3 linked regions of the Mus musculus genome follow. The protein of the gene in region 1 purifies or fractionates together with the protein of each later gene. This does not show direct contact. Links are inferred from orthologs where the notes say so. Each region holds a gene or a part of one and is shown on either strand. Other genes may lie near its edges. The genes, in order: Mtf2, Jarid2 and Ezh1.

Region 1 (7,535 bases):
TTATGCCCAGTTAAGTGTAGTTCTCACTCCTCATCAAGAAACTTCCCTTTGCAAGAGATGGGAGACCATTCCATAAAACCATAAGCAAGAAGAGAGAAGGGGAGGAAAAAAAAATTAACCACTGAAATACTACTTAATAGTAGTAGTATTAACTGGCATACAACCTGCGATCCTAGCTCTAGAATCAGGAGTTCATGACCAGGCTAGGCTACATGAGACTCTTTCTTAAAACCAAACAAAGTGTACTTACTCTATTTCTAGTCACACTTTTTTTCATTGTAGATTTTTTCCATACAGTATATTCCGATTATGACTTCCCCTACCCCCAACTGCTCCTAGATCCTCCCCACTACCAAAACCCATACTCTTTATCTTTCTCATGAGATTACAGGCATCACATCAAAGAAAAAAAAAAGATAGAAACAAACCAGAATAGGACAAACTGTTTGCCCAGAATCCTTAATATATCCTATTAACACTTCATTTTTAAGTTGTCAAAGATAATTTAAATTTCTTTCCCTTTCCACGAATAACCATTGCTTTTAGAGCTCACAATGTTTCTGCATCAATCTGGGATTGCTGGGCCTTGTTCACACCACGCCAAAGCTTTCTGGATCACATACTCTTTGGCTAGAGACGTGGCATACAGTAAAAGGATATGTGCACAAAGCTTCTCTAAGGTCTTCTTCTAGACCTACAAATATCTCAGTCCTCATTGCAACTCACTGGTAGAGTAGCAGGAACCTGTAGTCCTAGCTAGGAAAGGAACAAAGTTTCAACACAGGAGTGCCAGGTGAGGCCAAGCAATAAATAACAACTGACTCATTCAGTTCCTACACACAGAACTTTACATTGTAAAGAATTTCCCTCTGTAAAGAAAGTCTGGTGCTGTTCACTTACTATACTCAGCACTAGGATGAAAAATCTTACTCTACTGAGCCACAGTCCTTTGTTCTTCATGTCTTGAAATTTTATTAATATATGCATTCAGTATTTTTCTCATTGCTGTGTAAAAAACTCTGACAAAAACAACATAAAAAAAGTGTATATTTTGGCTCACAGTTTCAGAGTACAGTCCATCATGGAAGGGGGAGGCATAGTAGAAGAAGCAGGAGACAGCTATCGCACTGATATCTGCAGTCAGGAAGGTCAATGTTCATGCTCAGCTTGCTTCCTCCATTTGATTCAATCCAGGACCCCAGCCCATGGGTATGGTGGCCTCACATAGTCAGGGTGGGTCTTCCCTCCTCAGTTAAACCTTTCTGAAAACAATCATAGGCATATCCAGAGGTATATTTCCATGGTGAATCTGAATCTAATCAAATTGACAATGAAGTTAAACCATCACTTTATGTCTAAGTCCTACTTTTATGATATGATTATATTATGATTATTATTTAGCCCCTGGTAATCATTTCTACTTTTTTTCCCAAATGGGGCCTCATGTGTCCCAGGCTAGCTGCGAATTCATATATAGCTAAGAATAGCCTTGAACTTTGGATCTTTCTGCCCCTATCTGCTGTCAAGAAATTCATTCTTAGACTGTAGAGATGGCTCAGAAGTAGGAGTACTGGCTGTCCTTCCAGAGGACCTGAGTTCAATCTCCAGGGCCTTTGATTCCCAGCATTAACATGGCAACTTACAACCATTTCTAACTCCAGTTCCAAAGGAATAAACCACCTTCTTTTGGCCTCTGTGGGCACTGCTCCCATGTGGTGCACACATATACATGCAGGCAAAAATCTTCATATACATAAAAATAAGTTGGGGCTGGAGAGATGGCTCAGCAGTTAAGAGCATTGACTATTCTTCCAAAGGTCCTGAGTTCAATTCCCAGCAACCACATGGTAGCTCACAACCATCTGTAATGGGATCTGACACCCTCTTCTGGTGTGTCTGAAGACAGCTATAGTGTACTCAAACACATAATCTTTTTTTTTTTAAGTCTTAAAATAAAACAGAAAATGAAAAATGCATTCATTACAGCAGGTTAAATTTTAAAACCACTATAACTGGTGAAAAATATCCTTTATGGGGGCTAGAGACATGTCTCAGCCATTAAAAACACATATTACTCTTGGAGAAGAACTGAGTTTGGTTTCCAGCACTTATTAGGCAGCTCACAACCACCTATGACTCTCATGCTTCTGGCCTCCATGGACAGTAGCACATACCCCCCTAACCCTCCCCCACCACATATGCATTTTTTTTTAATTTTTAAATGTCTTATACATTTTTCCCCAAAATTCAGGGTGTATTCATTTGACAGAATGTTTGTCTTCTTTAATCTCAGCTGTATTACTGTCTTGAATTCAGCTATCTCAATTGCATACTCCATTATGAATCTATTTTGTACTTTCATCATTACTACCATCAAATATCAATTGTGTAACTTGAAGGTGTTAAATGGTGCTTGCCACGTATGCCTGTGCACCCATGTACACGTTTGTGTTTGTGTGTTCATTCTATCATTACTCATTGCTCAAAAATCAAACTGCATACTCTACATGAGCTCTGAACATGTCTATTGTTCAACAACGGTATTTTTAATATTTAAGACCACATATGACACAAAGTCCCCAATATATACTTTTTGAACAAATAAGGAAAAAAAATTCGCCAGGCAATTTTTCAATCCCAGCACTTGGGAGGCAGAGGCAGGTGGATTACTGAGTTCAAGGCCAGCCTGGTCTATACAAAGTGAGTTCCAGGACAGCCAGGGCTATACAGAGAAACCCTGTCTCCAAAAATAAATAAATAAGTAAGTAAATAAATAAATAAATAAATAAGAAAAGGAGAAAACAAAAGGAAAAGAAATCTCCACAGTACACATTTAAATATAGTTGCATACCCAATGATAGTTGCTGATGTGAACTCAAGTAAAGTAATAACAGCCGAGCATGGTAGTGATCTCCATCAGCATTCAGTGTGCAGGTGCAGACAGATCTGTCTTTTCAAGCCAGTCTGGAATACAAAGTGAGTTCCAGGCTGGCCAGAGTTATATAACGAGACCCTGCTTCAAAACTTAAAAAGGAAAAACAAAAAAACAAAAAACAAAAATCCTCCACTTAAAGCATTGTCCAGGGGGCTGGAGAGATGGCTCAGTGGTTAAGAGTGCCGATTGCTCTTCCAGAGGTCCTGAGTTCAATTCCCAGCAACCACATGGTGGCTCACAACCATCTGTAATGGGATCTGATGCCCTCTTCTGATGTGTCTGAAGACAGCAATAGTGTGCTTATATACATTAAATAAAAAAATAAACATTTAAAGTATTATCCAGCATCCTAAAAAGAATCAGTTTTTTTACCCACAATTCTCTCCCAAAAAAGAAATTCCCAAAAGAAAAATTAAAACATAAAGGCTGAAAACAGTCTGCAGAAGTTCCTATGAAGATTACATGGAATCTATTTGAAGGAGAAAGTACTTGCTGCTAGAGAAAACGGAGTCAACCAACCACTAACATATTTCTAGCTCTACTTTGATCTCATGAGGTACTTTTCTATGTCAATTACAGGCTTGTCTGGGTTTTCAAATTCTAACTACTGTTGCATGGTAATATCTTCAACCAAAGTTAAAGGTTTTAAAGAATAAAACAGCATTCCATACCCCTTTTCCTATTGTTCACAATCTCTCGTACCACTCAATAAATCCATCTCTGCCAAAGAAAAAATTAACCACCAAGGACTGCAGATTGTAAATCACAGTTAAGAGTTCTGGCACTATGGAAATGTGTTAAGAAATCCTGGAAAATTTTGGTTAAACCCCTTAGTGCCGTAAGTAACTAAGTTGTAATGATGAATACAAATTATCAGGGCAAGAAATTTTAATTGAACGGAAGAAATGCCTCCAAATAAAAGCTATCTCTTCCCCGTATCAATTCACCTATCACTTCTTCTCTTTAAGCTTCCAGGGCTTGCTTTCCAGGGTATTTTCCTCATCCTCGTACGCTAGCTATCTAGCCCACCACTAGATTCCCCTACCACAATTCCACACAATTCCAGCACCCTCTGGTTCCAAACTGCTACTTTCCTTAGCACCCCTTAAAGTGCCAGTCAGCCCCTCTACTAGGCTCCCCGCATTCTGACGGCTCCTCCCCTCGGTTCCCCACCCCCTCATCACCAGGTTCATCCTGCCCCTCCAACCGTCTCCCGCCCCCAGGTTCCTTCCTGCCCTCCAAACACAGCTTCCCTGTCTCAACGTTTTATCTAATTCCACCAACTGACTCCCGAGCGGGGCGCCCCGCTCCTTCCCCCAGTCCCTATTTTTACCAACATCTCACTGACTACCCCTCCCGATCCATTCTTTCAACATATGCATCAATGCAAAAACACCCCCACACAGGACTCCCTTGCCCAAAGCGGAGCCTCCATCTTTCCCCTTTCTTTTGCTTCCTTTCTTTCGTCTCTCCTCATCCCAACCTCCTCCCAAAGAGTCGGTTCCCAGGCCAAGGTCTCTCACCTCATTCGGTCACTTAAGTGGTGCCAACCGCTTCATACAGGAAAATAGAAGCAATCTCGTTCCCGTGGGCGCTCCCCCGCGAGTCCGGGCACTCCCTGGGCACCCGCCCCAGCGGGAGCCCTGCGCACACGCACACACACACCGAGTTCCTTGGGGACGAGGGTTAGGAAGGAGAATGTGCGTGCTCACACCGGCCTCAAACACAGACCACTTCGCAACAGCCCTTCGCCATTTTGGTTTCCCGCGGACTAGCGGTGCATTCTGGGAGCGCGGAGCTACTCCGGGGCCGAATGGCAGCTCTCCAGAGCCGCAGAGGGGCGGGGCCTGCGCGGCGAGCGCGGAGGAACACCGCGCCCTGCGTCCCGGACCAGCGCTGAACAAAGAGGGACTCTTTAACGTCGCGGTGGAATTAAGTCCTCTTGCTGCCGGTGCAGACACAATAGTGAGCGCAGCGCTTCCCGACGCTGATGCTTGCCTTACTAGGTCTTTTAAAAAGAGAGATCGTGTCCAGTCTTTCGTGCGGTCTTTTTTAATGCCCTCAGAAATAGGATATTGCTCAGTACATCTTGATGGGGTGATTTCCTTTCTGAAGAAAGGAAATTATTAACTGGAAAAAATACTTTTCTTTTACCTTCACCTAGAGGCCTGCTGTTATAATCCCCTTAAGTGGGGAGGAGACCCTGGATGGCAAATTTCGTTCAATGAATACTATCCAAATCCAAACTTATCTGGAATCTGTAATGGGAGATTTTCACTTTTTTTTCCTCTGACGATGAACGAGATTTTTTTTTCCCTGTTTACCTGCTTTGTGACCTTTCCTAATTGTAGTGAAATTTGAGCATACCCTCCTGCAAAGCAGTTGATTGAAGGAACACACAACTTTCATACTATTGCAGGCTTTTATATGAGGCCCAGCTGATAAATGGAATGCATGCTTATATCTTTGACTTATATTTGAATGCAACCCAGCACTTATAGAAACACCTGTAATACGTTTCTATTTTGTGAAAATATTTTCAGAGTCATATACTTTTTATCACAGATTATGTCACAGAGGCAGTACTGAATTTTCTCTCTGAAGAAATACCTCTTATGATCTAAATTCCTTTCACTCATATTTCAAGAGTTCCCTTTAAGCTGGGCGGTGGTGGCGCACGCCTTTGATCCTAGCACTTGAGAGGCAGAGGCAGGCAGATTTCTGAATTCAAGGCCAGCCTGGTCTACAGAGTGAGTTCCAGGACAGCCAGGGCTATACAGAGAAACCCTGTCTCGAAAAACAAAACAAAACAAAACAAAAAAGAGTTCCCTTTACCTAGGTTCTGAAAAATCTGGCAAATAGGCATATTCATATTATACTACATTTTTTTTTCTTTTTTGAAGACAGAGTCTATCTATTATATAGCTCTGGTTGTCCTGGAACTCATTGTGTAGACCAGGCTTGCCTCAAGCTCACAGAGATCTTCCTGTCTCTGCCTCCTCAGTACTGGGATTAAAAGGCCTGAGCCACCATGGCTAGCTTTGTATTATACAGTATATTTTATTCAGTACATTATATCAATCTGTGTCTCTCCCTCTTTCTCTCTCTCTCTGTCTCTCTCTCTCTCTCATGTGTCTCTGTATCTGACTCTCTCACACACACACTGTCTCTCTCTGTCTCTCACACACACACACTCTCTCTGTCTCTCTCACACACACACACTCTCTCTGTCTCTGTCTCTCTCTCTCTCTCACACACACACACACACTCTCTCTCTCTGTCTCTGTCTCTCTGTCTCTGTCTCTCTCTCTCTCACACACACACACACACACACACACACTCTCTTGTCTCTGTCTCTCTCTCTCTCTCACACACACACACACACACACTCTGTCTCTGTCTCTGTCTCTCTCTCTCTCTCTCTCTCTCTCTCTCACACACACACACACACACACACACACAGTAGTTAAGAGCTCTTGAGTACCTGTGTTCAATTCCCAGCACCCACATGACAGATCACAGTGTCTTTAGCTCTAATTCTAAGAGGCAAAACAGCATAGTACATAAAATAAAAATAGGTAAGTCTTTTAAAAGAGGTTGGAGAGATGGCTCAGTGGTTAAGAGCACTGACTGCTCTTCCAGAGGTCCTGAGTTCAATTCCCAGCAACCACACAATGGGTCATAAACTGTAATGGGATCCGATGCCCTCTTCTGGTGTGTCTGAAGAGAAGGACTCTCTTATACATATACATAAAATAAGTAAATATAAATCTTGAAAACAAACTATACATCAGGTGGGTGCCATAATTTAAAACTCGATACAAGGAAACATAATCTGCTTTACACTTTCTGACCTAAACTTTGGCACCTTTGGTCACAAAAAGTGATCTAATACTTTGTAAATTAAAGAACTCTAAGACACCTTTTTTCTGTTTGTTTGTTTGTTTGTTTGTTTGTTTGTTTGTTTGTTGAGATGGGTATAGCTCTGGCTGTCCTGGAACTCACTCTGTAGACCAGGCTGACCTCAGGCTCAGAGATCCTCCTGACTCTGCCTCCCAAGTGCTGGGATCAAAGGCGTGCGCCACCACCTGTGCTTGACACCTCTTTAATTTTTTTCCTATGTAGACATGAGTGATTGGTTTTGTACCACAGTACATGGACTGAGTTGCATATTTTACATACCCAAACAGACCTGGCCTGCAGATTCTCCCAGCATCCCTCAGTCCCTGTCATTCTCTCCCCCAACCCTGAACTTTTCAGCACAGGGGCTGCTGGGCTGCCCTTCCCCCAGAGGCTCTTCCTTATAAAAGTCAGACATTTTGGTCTCTCTCTCTCTCTCTCTCTCTCTCTCTCTCTCTCTCTCTGTACCTCCTCTTCTCTTTCTCAAGAGCACCCTTTTTCTCTTTTTTCCCCCACCCCCATGGTGACATCCTTGGCCTCCTTCTTTAGGGCCAGTGAACTCACTCTCTGGAGAGCAGTTTCCCAATAAACCTGCCTAATCTGACTTGAATTGGCTCATTTCACCAGTAGCAGCAGATGTAATGGACTGACACCCACCCACAGAATAGCTGTAGCCATTTTGACCCATGCCTGCCAGCTA
Region 2 (7,075 bases), on another chromosome or scaffold:
TGTCACCCAGAAGGAGAAGCTACACCTCCCCAACACTGCTCTTCCTAGCTCTGTGCTGAGCCAGGAATCAGAACTGGCTTCTCTCCCTTCACAAACCAGCCACTGCTAGATTCCTATGTCAGCAGCTGTAGGGTCTGAAGGACTCTGCTGGGCACTGGCCAGGGAATATACACAAACAGGACCAGCTCTATTCTGCAGCACCTCACACGGACCAGCTGCTAATTGGCCCGGGCACACAAGAGCACACTGTCTTCCAACACTGCACTAACTCCAAGAAGAGAGCTGGCAGAAGCACAAACATGGCCACCTGCCAATCCCATTACATGAAGAACAGGAAAGGAGAAAAGCACACCACGACTTGAGGGGATTCCAGACATTCTCCTCCAGAACACACAGAGAGGATGGGAAGGAGGCAGTTCCCTGAGCGTGAAAACTGCCAGCTGGACCAGCGATGGAGCCCAGGCACGCCCCCCAGGCCCTTCCAGCAGACTAGGGAATTCCCAGAGTAAAATGCTTGGCTGCCCAAGCACAGACACACGGAACAACCTCTGCCTTTGTGTCCCATCATACTGCACCAAGACCCTTCCTAGTGTCACAGGACGTTGTATGGAGATGGCTAACTTACTTACCTCAATCTCTGCTGGTGCGGGCTCCTTGCTGAAACACATGTTCATGATGTTTCTTGCTGTTCGATAAAAAGTTGTTAGAGAAACAGATCTTCCCTGAAACAAAGAAAACAGAAGAAGAGTTTGGCTTAAGACATGTTATGTTAAGACATAAATTTCTGTCATAGGTCTCTGTCCAGTGGCTTCCCCATAGTGACAAAGACACACTGTGTGCTCAATAGGTGACAACACCCACCTAAGTTTGTTATCCCAGTACACTGTGCTCGGGAAAGCAACACCAAGAGGTGAGCATGAAGACAGGGGTGGGTTTGCTCTCCAGCAAGGCAAGGCTCGGCATGAGGTTGACAAGGTTACTTTCCTGCAACTTGAAACCTTTCTAAGCTCCCTAAGTACAAGAAGGATCTAATGTAAACACTACCACAGATGCAACAGACAGGGGTGATGGGCATGCCCCTGCAGCCACCCGCAGTGCCACAGACAAGTTGTGGGCACCTGGGCCAACCATGTCAGCTTTTTCCAACTAAATCTTTATTTAACATATCAGGTTTATAAAAACAACAAGAAATATTTCCTGGGGTTTAATATACTATCATAGTATCGGCTTTAAATAACTACCAACAGGCATGGAGAGCACGCCATTTCATGACAGTTCTGTGTTGCCAAAGACTCACCTAATGCTGTAAATGAGAAAGAGCCCAACCTCTAGAAGCAACACAGAAAGTCTCCTCTGTGATATTTGGTCACAGCAGCTCAGAACAGTCCTAAGACAGCGTCCTAGCGCTCATCCCACAGAACAAGTCAGCTTCCTCCGGCTCCAGCAGGGCAGGGCACACCCTACCGCACAGCCCACTCACCTTATAGATGCACTTGTGGAAGTCATTGAGGACACCTTTGTCTTCTTCCTCCTCTTTGACCACTTCTTTTTCCTGAGCGAACAGCCGCCGCCGGCCCGTCTTCAGTGGGGCCCGGCCCACCTCCTTGAGCTTGCTACGGAATCCATTCCTAGGTGTGACACCGTGGACGAGCCCATTCTTGGGCTCAAAGCGGGGCAGGGAGTGGAACTTGTGGTGGTCGCTCTCCGTGTGCCCCTCTAATGGCCCTTTGCGCTTTTCCAGGATCTCCTTCTCCATCAGCACCTCCTTCTCCAGCCGTCGGTGCTCCTCGGGGGACAGGGAGTCATAGGAAAGCAGGTACTGGCAGTAGGCCTCCTGCAGCTTGGCCAGCCGGTCCTGGGCAGTTTTGGGAATGCGCAGCATGTCTGCTAGTTTGTTCCATTTTTTGAGGTCAGTCACTTGCTGCATGCCGCCCATCTCATTAATCAGCCGGAAAAAGCAGGCCAGGTCGAGCTCACAGCCTCCTGGGCAGCAATGGGGTGAAATGGTTAACAAGGATATCACAAGTTGTTTTCCTATGCCCTATTAGTCCTGAAAGCCTTACTACAAAACTGCTGCTCTAAAGCAGCCAGCAGCCAGCTTGTATGTACAAACAGTTTTGAGCACTGCTTAGAGTCGTGGCTAAGTACCAGGAGACAAGCAAACTAAGGTATGATCATCTTAGGAAGGTGACCAGAAATAGTATCTGAGGAATTGATCAGAAGGAAAGAGGTAGCCATGCACAGAAGGAGAGGACCACTGAAATGGTACCAAAGCTGTGCTCAGCATAGACCAGGGCACTACTACACAGAGGGGTACAGGTGACTACAGCAGAGCATGGCCAGGGCTCCCCCATAGCTTACTGCATCATCAATATTGTGAAAGGTCAGACACATGTGATCAAAGCCAAGTCTCTTCCAAATAGCCTAGCTTTCACTCAGAAAGGCTTTTTTGTCTCATCCAAGAAAAAAAGACAAGAGGGTACTTATCTCCAAAAAGATGAGTCTAAATGTTTATCAACACTCAAATATGAGCTGGGCTGTGTGGGTCAGTGGAGCTGGGCTGAGTGGGTCAGTGGTACAATACTTGCCTAACCTGTGCCAGACAAACAAACCAAAATACAACCAACAAAGAAACAAATCCATCTCAGATGTGTTTAAATACAGACTATATCTCTCTATCCACCTGGATGGAAAATGGAGAAGCCACATCACTGAAAAGAGCAATAGCTACCAACAACACAGTGAAACCAAAAACCAAGCAATACAAACAACAAAACAAGGATTTCTTCAATCTTCAAAAGTAGGGCTAAATTGACAATAAAATAAAATTAGTTAATTATTAATTAAATTAATAAAGGGATATGCCACTAGTTGACACAGTACAGGACCAGGCTGGGCGCTGCATGACCTATACCACCTATTCTGTCCAGCTGTCTACAGATTAAGTCCCTAGACTATCCTGTCAGTAAGATGGAGACAGCAGCATAGATCCCATTTATTGCTCTACCAAATACCAGAACTGACTTGGCTGGGAGCATAGGGAGGGAGGGAGGAAACGGACCTCAGACCCAGCACGGGCAGGCAGCAGCAGCTTTGTGGTCCTACAATCACATTGGCAAATAAAGGTAGATTTCTGTCATGAATCTTCAAAGTCTTCCTCCATGAATGAGACGCTCCTTGCGAGCCAACACGGCCCAGAACACACCCGCTACAGTGTATCTTTTTCAGTGCTTCCAAAATCAAAGTATTAACTATGTATGCAGTCCTAAGTGACATGCAGTGCTTGCAAAGTTCCTTAGAACTCTAAAAACACACACGTCAACCCTCATTCCATGGCTGTACCACCCATCAAGGCTTCACTTACTAAGTGCCTTCTGGGAGAGAGGCTCCCCAGGAGTCAGAGTCCTACCCAGTGGAAGCGCTAGGTCTGAAGCCTGCATGGCCAAATCAGTGGCCCTGGGTAGCTTTTATCCTATGGGTAATGGCAAAGCACATACAGATGAGTAATGATGAACTGACTCGTGACTTACAGGGGAAAACAACAAACTATGGGACAAGTCTCTGGGTTACTATGGCAACTGTACCTGCCATCTCACCTGTTCCCCAACACAAAAGCACTATGCACTGGAAGGGAGAGAAGAGTGGCACCACAGAGCTCTCTAAGGCAGGACTTACTCACTTGCCTCTGGGTTACCAGAGGGCTAGCAGTGGGGCTAAATGGGTGTGGCTTCCTGATCACGTCCATGGGCCTATATCCAAAGCCTGCTCCTCCCATACTGACACTGGCAAGAGATGACAAACCAACAAGTTTCAACAGACCCATCAGGCATGGTTAATGGCAGCCTCCTGGGAGAGGAGTTATAAACTCTCCACCTGTTAATGTCACTGTGTCCCTGGGTTGACTACTGAGCTACTCCATACATCCCAACCACAGACATTGTACTGATTCATAAGGGTTGAAACCCACAGGGAGGGGAGCTGCTGGCCACCTTGAAGGACTGGCCTCAATGTAAAAGCTAGTTGGCCTTCACTAGAAATGTCTGTACTGGAATGCTAGGACAAACTAAAAAAGAAAAAGGAATAAGGGGCTGGAGAGATGGCTTAGTAGTTTAGAGCACTAACTGCTCTTCTGAGGGTCCTGAGTTCAAATCCCAGCAACCACATGATGGCTCACAACCATCCGTAATGAGATCTGACGCCCTCTCCTAGTGTGTCTGAATACAGCTACAGTGTACTTTGGATATAATAATAAATAAATCTTAAGAGAGAGAAACTTTAAAAAAAAAAGAAAAAAGAAAAGAAAAAAAGGAATAATCCATGTAAGGTGAAATATAAGACCACCCAAGCTGATATTAACAAGTACAAAACCCTAAAACCCCAGGATGGAATGGTATTGTGAGGAAGAGTCTATAAAGTAGCCACTAAGTTAAAATAAGGTCACCCAAGTAGGCCTTACTACAGCCTGACTGATGTCCTTATAAGGAGATATCCAGACAGACATACAGAGGAAAGACTCTATGAGGACCAAAGTGCAGGTGGCCTACTACAAGGCAGAGACAATTTAGCAAAAACCACTCCTGCCAGCATGCAGAATTAGAAACCCCTAATTTGTGGTTTTGAAGCCATGGCACATTGTAGCAGCCTGACCTCAGCCCTTCCCTGGACACTGCCCAACCACAGCAACTCTAGAGCAATAAAAAGCCATGCAGCAGCAGCAGCAGCAGCAGCAGCAGCAGCAGCAGCAGCAGCAGCAGCAGCAGCAGCAGCAGCAGCAGCAGCAGCAGCAGCAGCAGCAGCAGCAGCTCAGGGGCTCTAGCACCAAGAGCAAGCCCCAAACTTATTACGAAAGAGAGAGAGGTTCTACAAGAGCAGGGAAATGAGTTGAGAAGTGCAACTATTGTCGAGTTAGAGATGACGGCCCAGCTGAACCCACCCGGCAATCCCCGAATTAACTCACCTATGAGGGGGAGCTCATCCATGGTGATGCCCTGAGATCTGAGGTGCTTCTTTATGCAGGCTAGCCGCTGCACGTTGGGGCCCCAGCGCCGGCCCAGCTTATGGATGTGCTGGATCTGCGTGACAAAGCGCATCTCATCGTTGAGCTTGCACTCTGGCCGCCAGTCTGGAGGGGGAATCACGCGACACATCCCGTACTTCTCCACCTGAGCACGTACTGACTCGATGTAGATGAGCGGGTCGTGGAACTCCTTGGCGGAGGGCCTGAGGACAGGGATCTCGTCCATCGCTGCCCACCCAGACTTGCCGCTCCCCTTCTCTGGCTTGCCCTGTGGGTCATGCGGCTTGTGCGAGGACTCGGGTTGCGAGGTAGAACGATTTTCACAGGGGGTGCCCTCTGTCTTGCCATGTGCTTGTTTGCCCAGCATATTCTTGCCAGCCGCGGCCCGCTTTGGCCGATTCCTTTCCAAACTTCGCTCGGGCACTTCCTTCTTCACGTGTCCATTCAGCAGAGACTTTTCTCCTGAAGCCGCTGAGGCCTTTTTGCCAGGGGCTTCAGCATTGCCTGCCACCCCCTTCATCTTCTTGGGGGGTGACTGCGGCTTGTCCACTTGCTGTGCCTCTTCCAGTCTCCTTTTGGAATTCCGCAGCCCCTCCCTCAGCTGCCGCCCCCCCACCTCCTTAGTGCATGACTTTGGGTTCAACCTGCTGCTGGCCTTGAGGCCACTGGCAGCAGGCCCGGTGGACTTGGACGCCCCCCCAAGGGATAGCACCTGTTTGCGGGTTTTTGCATTGCTACTTTCAGTTTTCCCTGAGATTGTGTGGTTGACAGCTGAACTGGGTTTGTGGTGGTTGGGTTTGGTTTCCTTGACCAGTTCTCTCTTGGCTTTGGTGTATGTGACAGTCCCCTTGGTCACTGTGGCAGTGTACTTCACAGTTTTGGATGGTGAAGGTCTGACTTCTCGGATCTTTTTGGCACTGTTTGTACCTGCACCCAGAGATGACATTCGAGTGACTCCATTTACCTTAGACACCTATGGAGGCAGCAGAAGCAGGGGAAAGAGAAAGAATTAGTACCCAGGCAAATCCAGTGAGAAAGGACTTCTACAGTTGCTGGCTCAGAAGAGACATGAGGACATCCGATAAGCAGCAGAAAGCCCACTAAGAATTAATCTGTGCTAGCTGAATGACGAGTTTCATACCACACACAGCATTGTGCAGCCCACTGTGTAGTCCTGCCTAGCGCTCGGCCCCGATGAGTCTGCATCCTAACATCTCTCTAGATGGCTCTTTCAGGAAGCTTAGGGTCCAGAATAAAGACCCTCTCTATTGACCCATCAGTTACCCAGGAACCTGCAACAGCAAGATGCTGTTCATTTAAGAAAGGTGTGCAATAAGTTTTTGAAATATATTTTTTTCTTATTCCAAAAGCAGCTGTTTGCTATCCTTTGTGTGTTCCATGTTAACAGCCTGGCCGACCCACAGAACATGAAACCCAATAATGCTACTAAAACAGCAAAAACAAAAACAAAAAGCAAGAACCCAGCACACTAACTTCTTTTGTGATGCTACAAAACGCCTAACCCCCTTTTGCACAAATGGTTCCTATTTTCTTGCCCCTTGCAAGCCCTCATTTGGGTTTCAGTTAAACTGGGTAAATAGAGGCAGCTGTCCTGTACTGGCCATCCATCTGACAGATGGAAAACCAAAGGAAAAATTCTGTGAAACAGTTGCCTCATTCACAAAGAATGGAACAGTGTGGTTCTGGTACCACCGAACCCCCAGAGGCCCACTGATTTCCAAATACAAGAACAATGAGGTGTTAGACTCATCAGTTAAGGGTAGGTGATTTTACACCAATCACCATAGCTGTGAGTTTGGTGTTACATTTAGTCTCATGGGTGTCATCTATACCATGAATTTAAAAATCAAGAAGAAACAGGCTTTTAATGGTGCCAAAAGAGCCCATAAAACATACACAATTACAGAAACCAGAGACCTCTTTGCAAAAGAGTGCTGAGTCAGGGGCCTGGCTTGTGGATGGGAAACAGTCTTGCTGAGGCTACTAATGGTAGCTACAAGGTGCCATCTTGAGGCTGAATCACGATCCGCCTGCCCT
Region 3 (7,075 bases), on another chromosome or scaffold:
TGCAGTTTTCTTTCTAAAAAGGCAGAGCCACTCAGGCAGTTCACTTGAGAAGCGGTAGATGAAAGCCAGGATGATGTATGGCAGTGCCGGCTTGGTAGCTCTGCCTCCCGGGTCTAAGTAAATCTTCAGTGCAGTGTCCTCCTCCCCAGCCACATCCTGTCTCTACTAAAAGATGCCCCGTTAGCTGCTTGCAAATTCCAGATTCTTAACAAGCCCAGCACCTGGCCCAGTCACTTGCCTAGTCACCTCATCCCAGAGATGTGACAGGTCCTGTTCACTTCTCTTCCAGGTCTTTCAGTTTGCAGTCAAAGAATCACTTATCCTAAAGCTGCCAACAGATGAGCTCATGAACCCTGCACAGAAGAAGAAAAGAAAACACAGGCAAGGATTAGACAAAGGACTCTTAAGGCTCCTAAGGTTATCTGTGCTCTGACCTCCTTGGGGACACCCCTTGCCTGTCCACTTGGTCACTCACTGCACTGGGCAGAACCAGCCCATCTTATTGGGACGCTCAGATGAGAGACTCTGTCTTCAGAACTCCCTCAAGTCCTGTGACTAGGTCCAGCTCTTCCCTGTGCCCACACTGAGGACATGGCTGGCCTCTGCCTCTGCACTAAGATTATTTCCCCTTTCTTGGGTGTTGACCATCTTCCCCACTCTGCAGAGTTTGTCCCTTTTCTTTATAGTGTTGTTTTTCAGAGTTACATAGTGCTGTTTATTGGTTGGAAGTTAGAAAAACAAATAGCTGAGTGTGGTTATATACTTTTAATCCCAAAACTGAGAGGCAGATGGATCTCTGTTCAAGGCTAGCCTGGTCTACATAAATAGTGTCAGGTCAACCAGAAGTACATGGTGAGACCCTGTCTAAAAGATAACAAGCATCACTCTGATGATGGCCAGGTGACAAGTAAAGGAGGTGGCTCTAGCTCTAGCTACGAAGGAATTCCCTTCTGCTCTTCTCCTGCCAGCCTCTTCACTGTGGGCTTTTCCTCCTACCATCTTGGAGTTCTGCCGGGCAAGGGGAGAAGTGGCAAGAGGGAGAAGCAGTAATGCGAGACAGCTTTGTGACTTTGATTTGTCTGGGTTTTTGTTATTTTGGTGTTTTGGGAGGAGGAGCCTCCTGCTAAAGAACTCAGAAAGAGCACCTTACAGTTGTCCAGCTAGAGCAGGACAGTCATGTGTCTTCAGAGGACCACAACTCAGACCTATTCTTCTTTCTTTTTCTCCTAGGTTGTGGGCCGCACACTGCAGGAAAATTCAGCTGAAGAAAGGTAAGTTCAGTAGAAAAAAGGTGGGGTTTAGATCAGAGTGGAGTGCATGCTTAGCGTGTTCAAGGTCATGGGCTCCATCTTAGGTGCCTTGCTCATAGAAACATATACACACACACCCTGAGTTCAGATTAAGGCCTCACCCTGTGGTTATCACTCTGCTGCACCTATAGCTCTCTTGTTGGCCCTAGCTGCTTCTACAGATTGCAGATTTCTTTGCAGCATCGTCAGGGCTGAGCCAATGACTACAGCCGAGATGCTGTCTCAGAAGATAAACTTAAAGCCTTGTGGTCTCTTGAGTTTCCTAGTGTGCTGTTTGCCAGTTCCAGACCTCTTTTCATGTTTAGAGTAGCTGCCTTGTTATCTAGGACCATCTCTGCACCCTACCCACAAAGCAGATACTCTGTTGTTTACGCACAGGGGTCAGCTACATTATCAAGTGCTGAGTGTGGCCAGGGTCATAGTTGGGACAAGCCTTCTTTGACATGAGGCGCTGGAACATTTGGGGGATAGGGCATCAAGGTAGCCTTGTTGCAACAATGTCCTGCTCTTTTCTCTTTTTTAGATAACAATTCTACACAAGTGTATAACTACCAACCCTGTGACCACCCAGACCGTCCGTGTGACAGCACATGCCCCTGCATCATGACCCAGAACTTTTGTGAAAAGTTCTGCCAGTGCAGCCCAGACTGTAAGAGCACCCTGCTTTCACCATCGTCTACCCAAGTGGTTGGCCTTGGAGTGCCCAGACTCTTTTCTCCTGCCCCTTAGCTGCCTGGAGACTTTTAATATCCCTTTGCTGTGCTGCAGGCATCCTACAGGGAGGAAAGGTGTGATCTCCCATGTTGTGGGGGTTGCTCTGTTCTATTTTCTGATTTTTAATTTTAAAACTTCATTATTTTATGTATATGAGTGTTTTCCCTGCATGTATGTCTGTATTGTGGGGCATGCCTGTTGTCCAAGAAGGTCAGAAGAGGGAATAAGATCCCCTGGTACTGGAGTTAGACAGTTGTGAGCCACCATGTGGGTGCTGGGAGTCAATCTCAGGTCCTCTGGAAGAGCAGCCATTGCTCCTAGCTGCTGAGCCGTCTCTCCAACCCCTGTTCTACCCCCAACTCCTGAGGTCACAAAGTCTCAAAAAAAACCTAAACACTGGGTGGTGGTGGTGGCCATCTTTACCTCTAGCACTCCAGAGGCAGAGGTAGGTGACCCTCCCAAGTTTGAGGTCAGCCTGGTCTACAGAGTGATTTTGAGTTCCAGGACAACCAGGGCTGCATAGAAAAGCCCTGTCTCAAAAACACGTTCCCCCACCACCAAAAAACGTCTTTTCTCTCCCTCCCATCTCCTGCCTTCTTCTTTCTCCCCACCCACTCTGTATTTTCAAGCAAATTTCCTTTTTTCCACCTCATAGGTAGCTGAGATTACAGATGTGTGCCATCTTTCCTAGCTGTGAAAGTAATGTAAGCCTTCAGGGTGGGGTTCAGGAAGCAGGAACTAGACATGAGGCTTCTCCATCTTGTTCACAGGAGAGCTGAGAAGTGGGAGCTTCTGCACTCAGGGTGCACCATCCTCATCAGGATGGTGGGTTTTGCAAGTGTAGAGCCAGAGAGATGGCTCAGTGGTTAACAACACTTCCTGCTCTTCTGGAAGACCTGAGTTTGGTTCCCAGCCCCCATATCAGGCAGTTTACAACCACCTGTGATTCCGGCTCCAGGAGATCTGACACCTTCTGTCCTTGGACATCCACGCACACTTAACATACACATACACATAAATAAAAATAAAAGTGAACAAAAAAGATACATGGGTTGAGTGTGGTAGTGTGTAACTGTAATTAGGTCTGGACCTCCACTGTGGGAGTCTGAGGCAGGAGGATCAGTGTTCAAGGCCAACCTGTGCTACTAAGGAAACTATGTCTTAACAACACCTACCACCTCTAGGTTTGTTTAGGTAGATACAGGAGCACTTATAGAGCTGGTTATAGAACCAGCTCTAGCATTGGGAGAATGATGCAGGCCTTGTACCCAGGTTAAACCCCGCCCCAAAAGAGAGAACAGGAGAGGGAGGGAGATAGGAAAGAGGAGAAGAAAAAGGAGAACAGCCGAGGCCGTTCTTCAGGAAAAGGCAATACAATGAATTTGCCAGGAAGCCTTGGTTAGATCTGGAAGCACGTGAGGAAAGGAAAGAACAGATTCTTGGACTGTCCTCTTAGCTCCACCCACATGCACACACCTACTGAGTATGTAATTAAAGGGAAACGTTTGGGGGAAAGAAAAAGAATACATGCACAGACCTCGGGGATGACCTTGACCTCCCGCTCCTCTTACCCCCACCTCCTGGATGCTGGGATTACAGGTGTGCGCCATCACACTGGACCCATACAGGTTCTTTATGTCCACAGTAACTGCAGAGTGACTATTAGACTAGCTGTTGAATCTATGACCTGTCCTTGCTATGCTTTGTCTGTATACTCCACCCTGGCTGAAGTTCTTTTAGAACTCTTTCTTTTCCCCCAGCATATATTAAGTAAGCTGGATAAAGAACATTGATTTCAATATTTTCATATTAGCTGCAGTTTATTTTGTTGTTGTATTTTGTTTTGTTTTGTTTGGGGGGGGGGGGGTCGAGACAGGGTTTCTCTGTATAGTCCTGGCTGATCCTGGAACTCACTCTGTACACCAGGCTGGCCTCGAACTCAGAAATCCACCTGCCTCTGCCTCCCGAGTGCTGGGATTAAAGGCGTGCGCCACCACGCCCGGCTTTTGTTTTGTTTTGAGACAGGATCTTAGTATGCAGTCCTGGATGGCCACAGACTCACAGAGATCTACCTGTCTCTGCCTCCTGAGTGGTAGGATTAAAGGCGTGCACCGACATACTCAGCTGAAGAGTTTTTGTACATCTGATAGGAGGGCCTGGCGTAGGTGCATACTGTTCTCATGGAACCCTAGATTGGTTCCCAGCACCCACATCAGGCAGCTTACAAGGAAGTGTAACTTTAGCTCTGAGGGTTCTAATGCCACCTTTTGGCCTCCAAGGGCTTTTGCACTCAGGTATACATACTCACCCAAAGATACACACATATAATTAAAATTAAGAATAAATGTGTAGGGAGCTAGAGAGCCGGCTCAGTGGTTAAAAGCAGAGAGCATGGGTTCTGTTTCCAGCACCCTCATAACCAGCTATAACTCAACTCACAGAATCTGCTGCTTTCTTCTGGCCTCTGTGGTGATTCAAGCATGTGTTTCACATGGATACGTGGGCACACACATCAAATAAAAATACATACATACATACTTACTATTTACATGGGTGTGCACATATCTGGTAGGAGACAGGGTAGGAGGTGTCAGCAGAAAAATAGTTCTCCACTTCTTACCCACCTTAACCTTTCCTCATTTTTCCTGCTTGTGGCCAAGCAATAGATGGCAGCCTCTGGGTTTGCAGAGGGCAGTACCCAGGCCTCTGTGCTGTGATTGTCACCTGACAAGGAAGAGATAGTGATCTCAGCCACAGTAGATAAGAGCTAGTGCTGCTGAGCTGTGGGCAGCGAGGACCGCACAGAGCGGATGCTGCGTTCGTTTCCGAAGACGGTGCTTGTTTTGATGAGGAGGCTTTACTGTGAAAAGCACTGATTTCATTTTCTTCTGGGTTCTTTCCACCTCAGTTCCAAATTCTGTCAACAAGGACGAGAGGGGGACCCTGTTAGGAAATCTCCAGGTGACACTTAATAGTCACACCTGCCTTTTTGTCTGTTGGGAATTAGTTCATAGTGTGTGTGTCTCTGTGTTAGCACACGCGTGCATGTGTGTGTGGCCAGAGGTTAACCTTGGGTGTCATTCGTGAGGAACCACCTACCTTGTTTTTCTAGATGGGATCTTTCACTGCAGCTAAGGGCTTGCTCATTAGCTAGGTTGTGTGGTGAGTGAGCGCCAGGAATCCATCCGTCTGCACTTTCCCTGCACTGGGGTTCTAAGCACATAGGTGGTTCCATGCCTGACATTTGTATATAGGTTCTGTGGATCAAAATTAGTTTCTCATGTTTACACGGTGAGTGCTTTAACAACTGAGCCATGTCCTGAGCCCTAACGGAGGCACTTCCTTGTCTTGAGGGAAAAGCCAGATGTTCAGGGGAAGGAACCTTCTGCCTGTTGTGCCAAGAGTCCTTGGACATGTCACATTCAGTTCTCTGCTCTCCCCGAGTCCGACCTGCATGAGTGCCCGCTTCCTAACCATCCCAATCTCCCCACTCAGGCCAGAATCGCTTTCCTGGTTGTCGCTGTAAGACTCAGTGCAATACCAAGCAATGTCCATGCTACTTGGCAGTTCGTGAGTGTGACCCTGACTTGTGCCTCACCTGTGGGGCCTCAGAGCACTGGGACTGTAAGGTGGTGTCTTGCAAAAACTGCAGCATCCAGCGTGGCCTCAAAAAGGTGAGGTCTTTTCTTGGGTCAAGATGACAGTGGGAAGGAGGAAATGTTACCAGGTGTCATTGTTCCTTTGGCTCCTCAGAGGGGTTGTATGTAAAAGTGCTTGACAGATCTTGTCAGTGGTCAAAGTAATCTAATTTTCCATTCTACCAAAAGGAGCAGAGGGGTATAGACCATTCTATTCCCCTGTGGTGTTGGGTTGAAGTCCAAGTCTCTGCACATGAGAGGCAAGCACTTTCCCTCTGGGCTCCACAGCCCCAGAGTTGCCCCTTCTACTGCCTACATTATGATGTATGCCCAGACTCAGCCCCGGAGGTCCACAAGGAAGAGGAAGAAAATATCCTGTTTCCTTTACCATTTCCAGTTTTTGTTCTTACCCCTCAAGAGTGAAATGGTTTGGACCTCTTCTGTTTTCAGGTTCCCCTGACAGTTGGTAGTTCTTTCCACCTGCCCCCGTCCCACACGTGCACATGAAGCACTCACACCCACTCACACCCGCCCACCCGCCCGCCATCTAAGGCTTGCCTCCCTCTCCCCCAGCACCTGCTGCTGGCCCCTTCCGATGTGGCCGGATGGGGCACCTTCATCAAGGAGTCTGTGCAGAAGAATGAATTCATTTCTGAATATTGTGGTGAGGTGAGTGTTCCAGGTTCAGCCCGTGTTCTTACTGGGAAGATACTGACAAGAAGCTCTCTGACTTTCTGTGGGTTAGGCTTCTGTGAATTCATCTCTAAATAACTCAGCCCAGTTTTCATGTGGCCTCTCAGGGGATCCCACAGAACTGTTTGCAATCCTGAAACAAACCACTGTTTGTCAAGTGTTGGTATCTTGCTCTCTCTAGCCTTCACCCTGGTCAGCTTTGGTGGAGAGGGCTAGCAGAGTCTTGCTCTCCTGCACTGCCCCTTCCCAGGTAGGACAGTGTCAGACCTCGAGCAGGCGAGACATCCACTTCTTCCTTGTTTACTCCTCCAGCTCATCTCTCAGGATGAGGCTGATCGTCGAGGGAAGGTCTATGATAAATACATGTCCAGCTTCCTCTTCAACCTCAACAATGGTATGGCATGGCCTTCTGTACCTAGGTGATCATGTGCAAGTCTTCACACTAAGCAGCCTTGGCTATGATCCAGGTTCCAATCAGCACTGACTCGACCGACTCTTAAAGCAGAGTGCTAAGCTGAGCTGGGAAGCCTCCTGGGCTCTGCTTCATTTCTGAGCTGTGTTAGGAATGGGAACATGGGCACTTGCACTTGAGAAGGTACCCTAACCAATAGGTGGGAGGAGATCCAAAATTCAGAGGGAGGACTCCAGGGGATGCTGTCTCATGAGGAGGCAGGCTGCACTTTCACATATTCTGTTACTATTCTGGGCTTCACGTTCCCA

What was found.
Region 2: the proteins of Mtf2 (region 1) and Jarid2 purify together in Homo sapiens (affinity purification with mass spectrometry; 3 studies listed by BioGRID and IntAct, with this or other methods). This does not show direct contact. The link is inferred for Mus musculus from reciprocal best matches to the Homo sapiens genes MTF2 and JARID2.
Region 3: the proteins of Mtf2 (region 1) and Ezh1 purify together in Homo sapiens (affinity purification with mass spectrometry; 3 studies listed by BioGRID and IntAct, with this or other methods). This does not show direct contact. The link is inferred for Mus musculus from reciprocal best matches to the Homo sapiens genes MTF2 and EZH1.

Annotation. Positions count from the first base shown.
Region 1 is NC_000071.6:108,062,889-108,070,423, reverse strand, and holds the start of Mtf2 (metal-response element-binding transcription factor 2), read right to left. Parts: upstream 4,751-7,535; 5' UTR 4,464-4,750; coding exon 4,459-4,463; intron 2,965-4,458; exon of another isoform or gene 2,852-2,964; intron 1,263-2,851; exon of another isoform or gene 1,099-1,262; coding exon of another isoform or gene 1,061-1,098; exon of another isoform or gene 901-1,060; intron 1-900. UniProt on the Homo sapiens protein: Polycomb group (PcG) protein that specifically binds histone H3 trimethylated at 'Lys-36' (H3K36me3) and recruits the PRC2 complex, thus enhancing PRC2 H3K27me3 methylation activity.
Region 2 is NC_000079.6:44,901,141-44,908,215, reverse strand, and holds part of Jarid2 (protein Jumonji), read right to left. Parts: intron 5,991-7,075; coding exon 4,958-5,990; intron 1,984-4,957; coding exon 1,481-1,983; intron 723-1,480; coding exon 630-722; intron 1-629.
Region 3 is NC_000077.6:101,194,142-101,201,216, reverse strand, and holds part of Ezh1 (histone-lysine N-methyltransferase EZH1), read left to right. Parts: intron 1-289; coding exon 290-381; intron 382-1,230; coding exon 1,231-1,271; intron 1,272-1,833; coding exon 1,834-1,959; intron 1,960-5,519; coding exon 5,520-5,698; intron 5,699-6,235; coding exon 6,236-6,331; intron 6,332-6,667; coding exon 6,668-6,749; intron 6,750-7,075.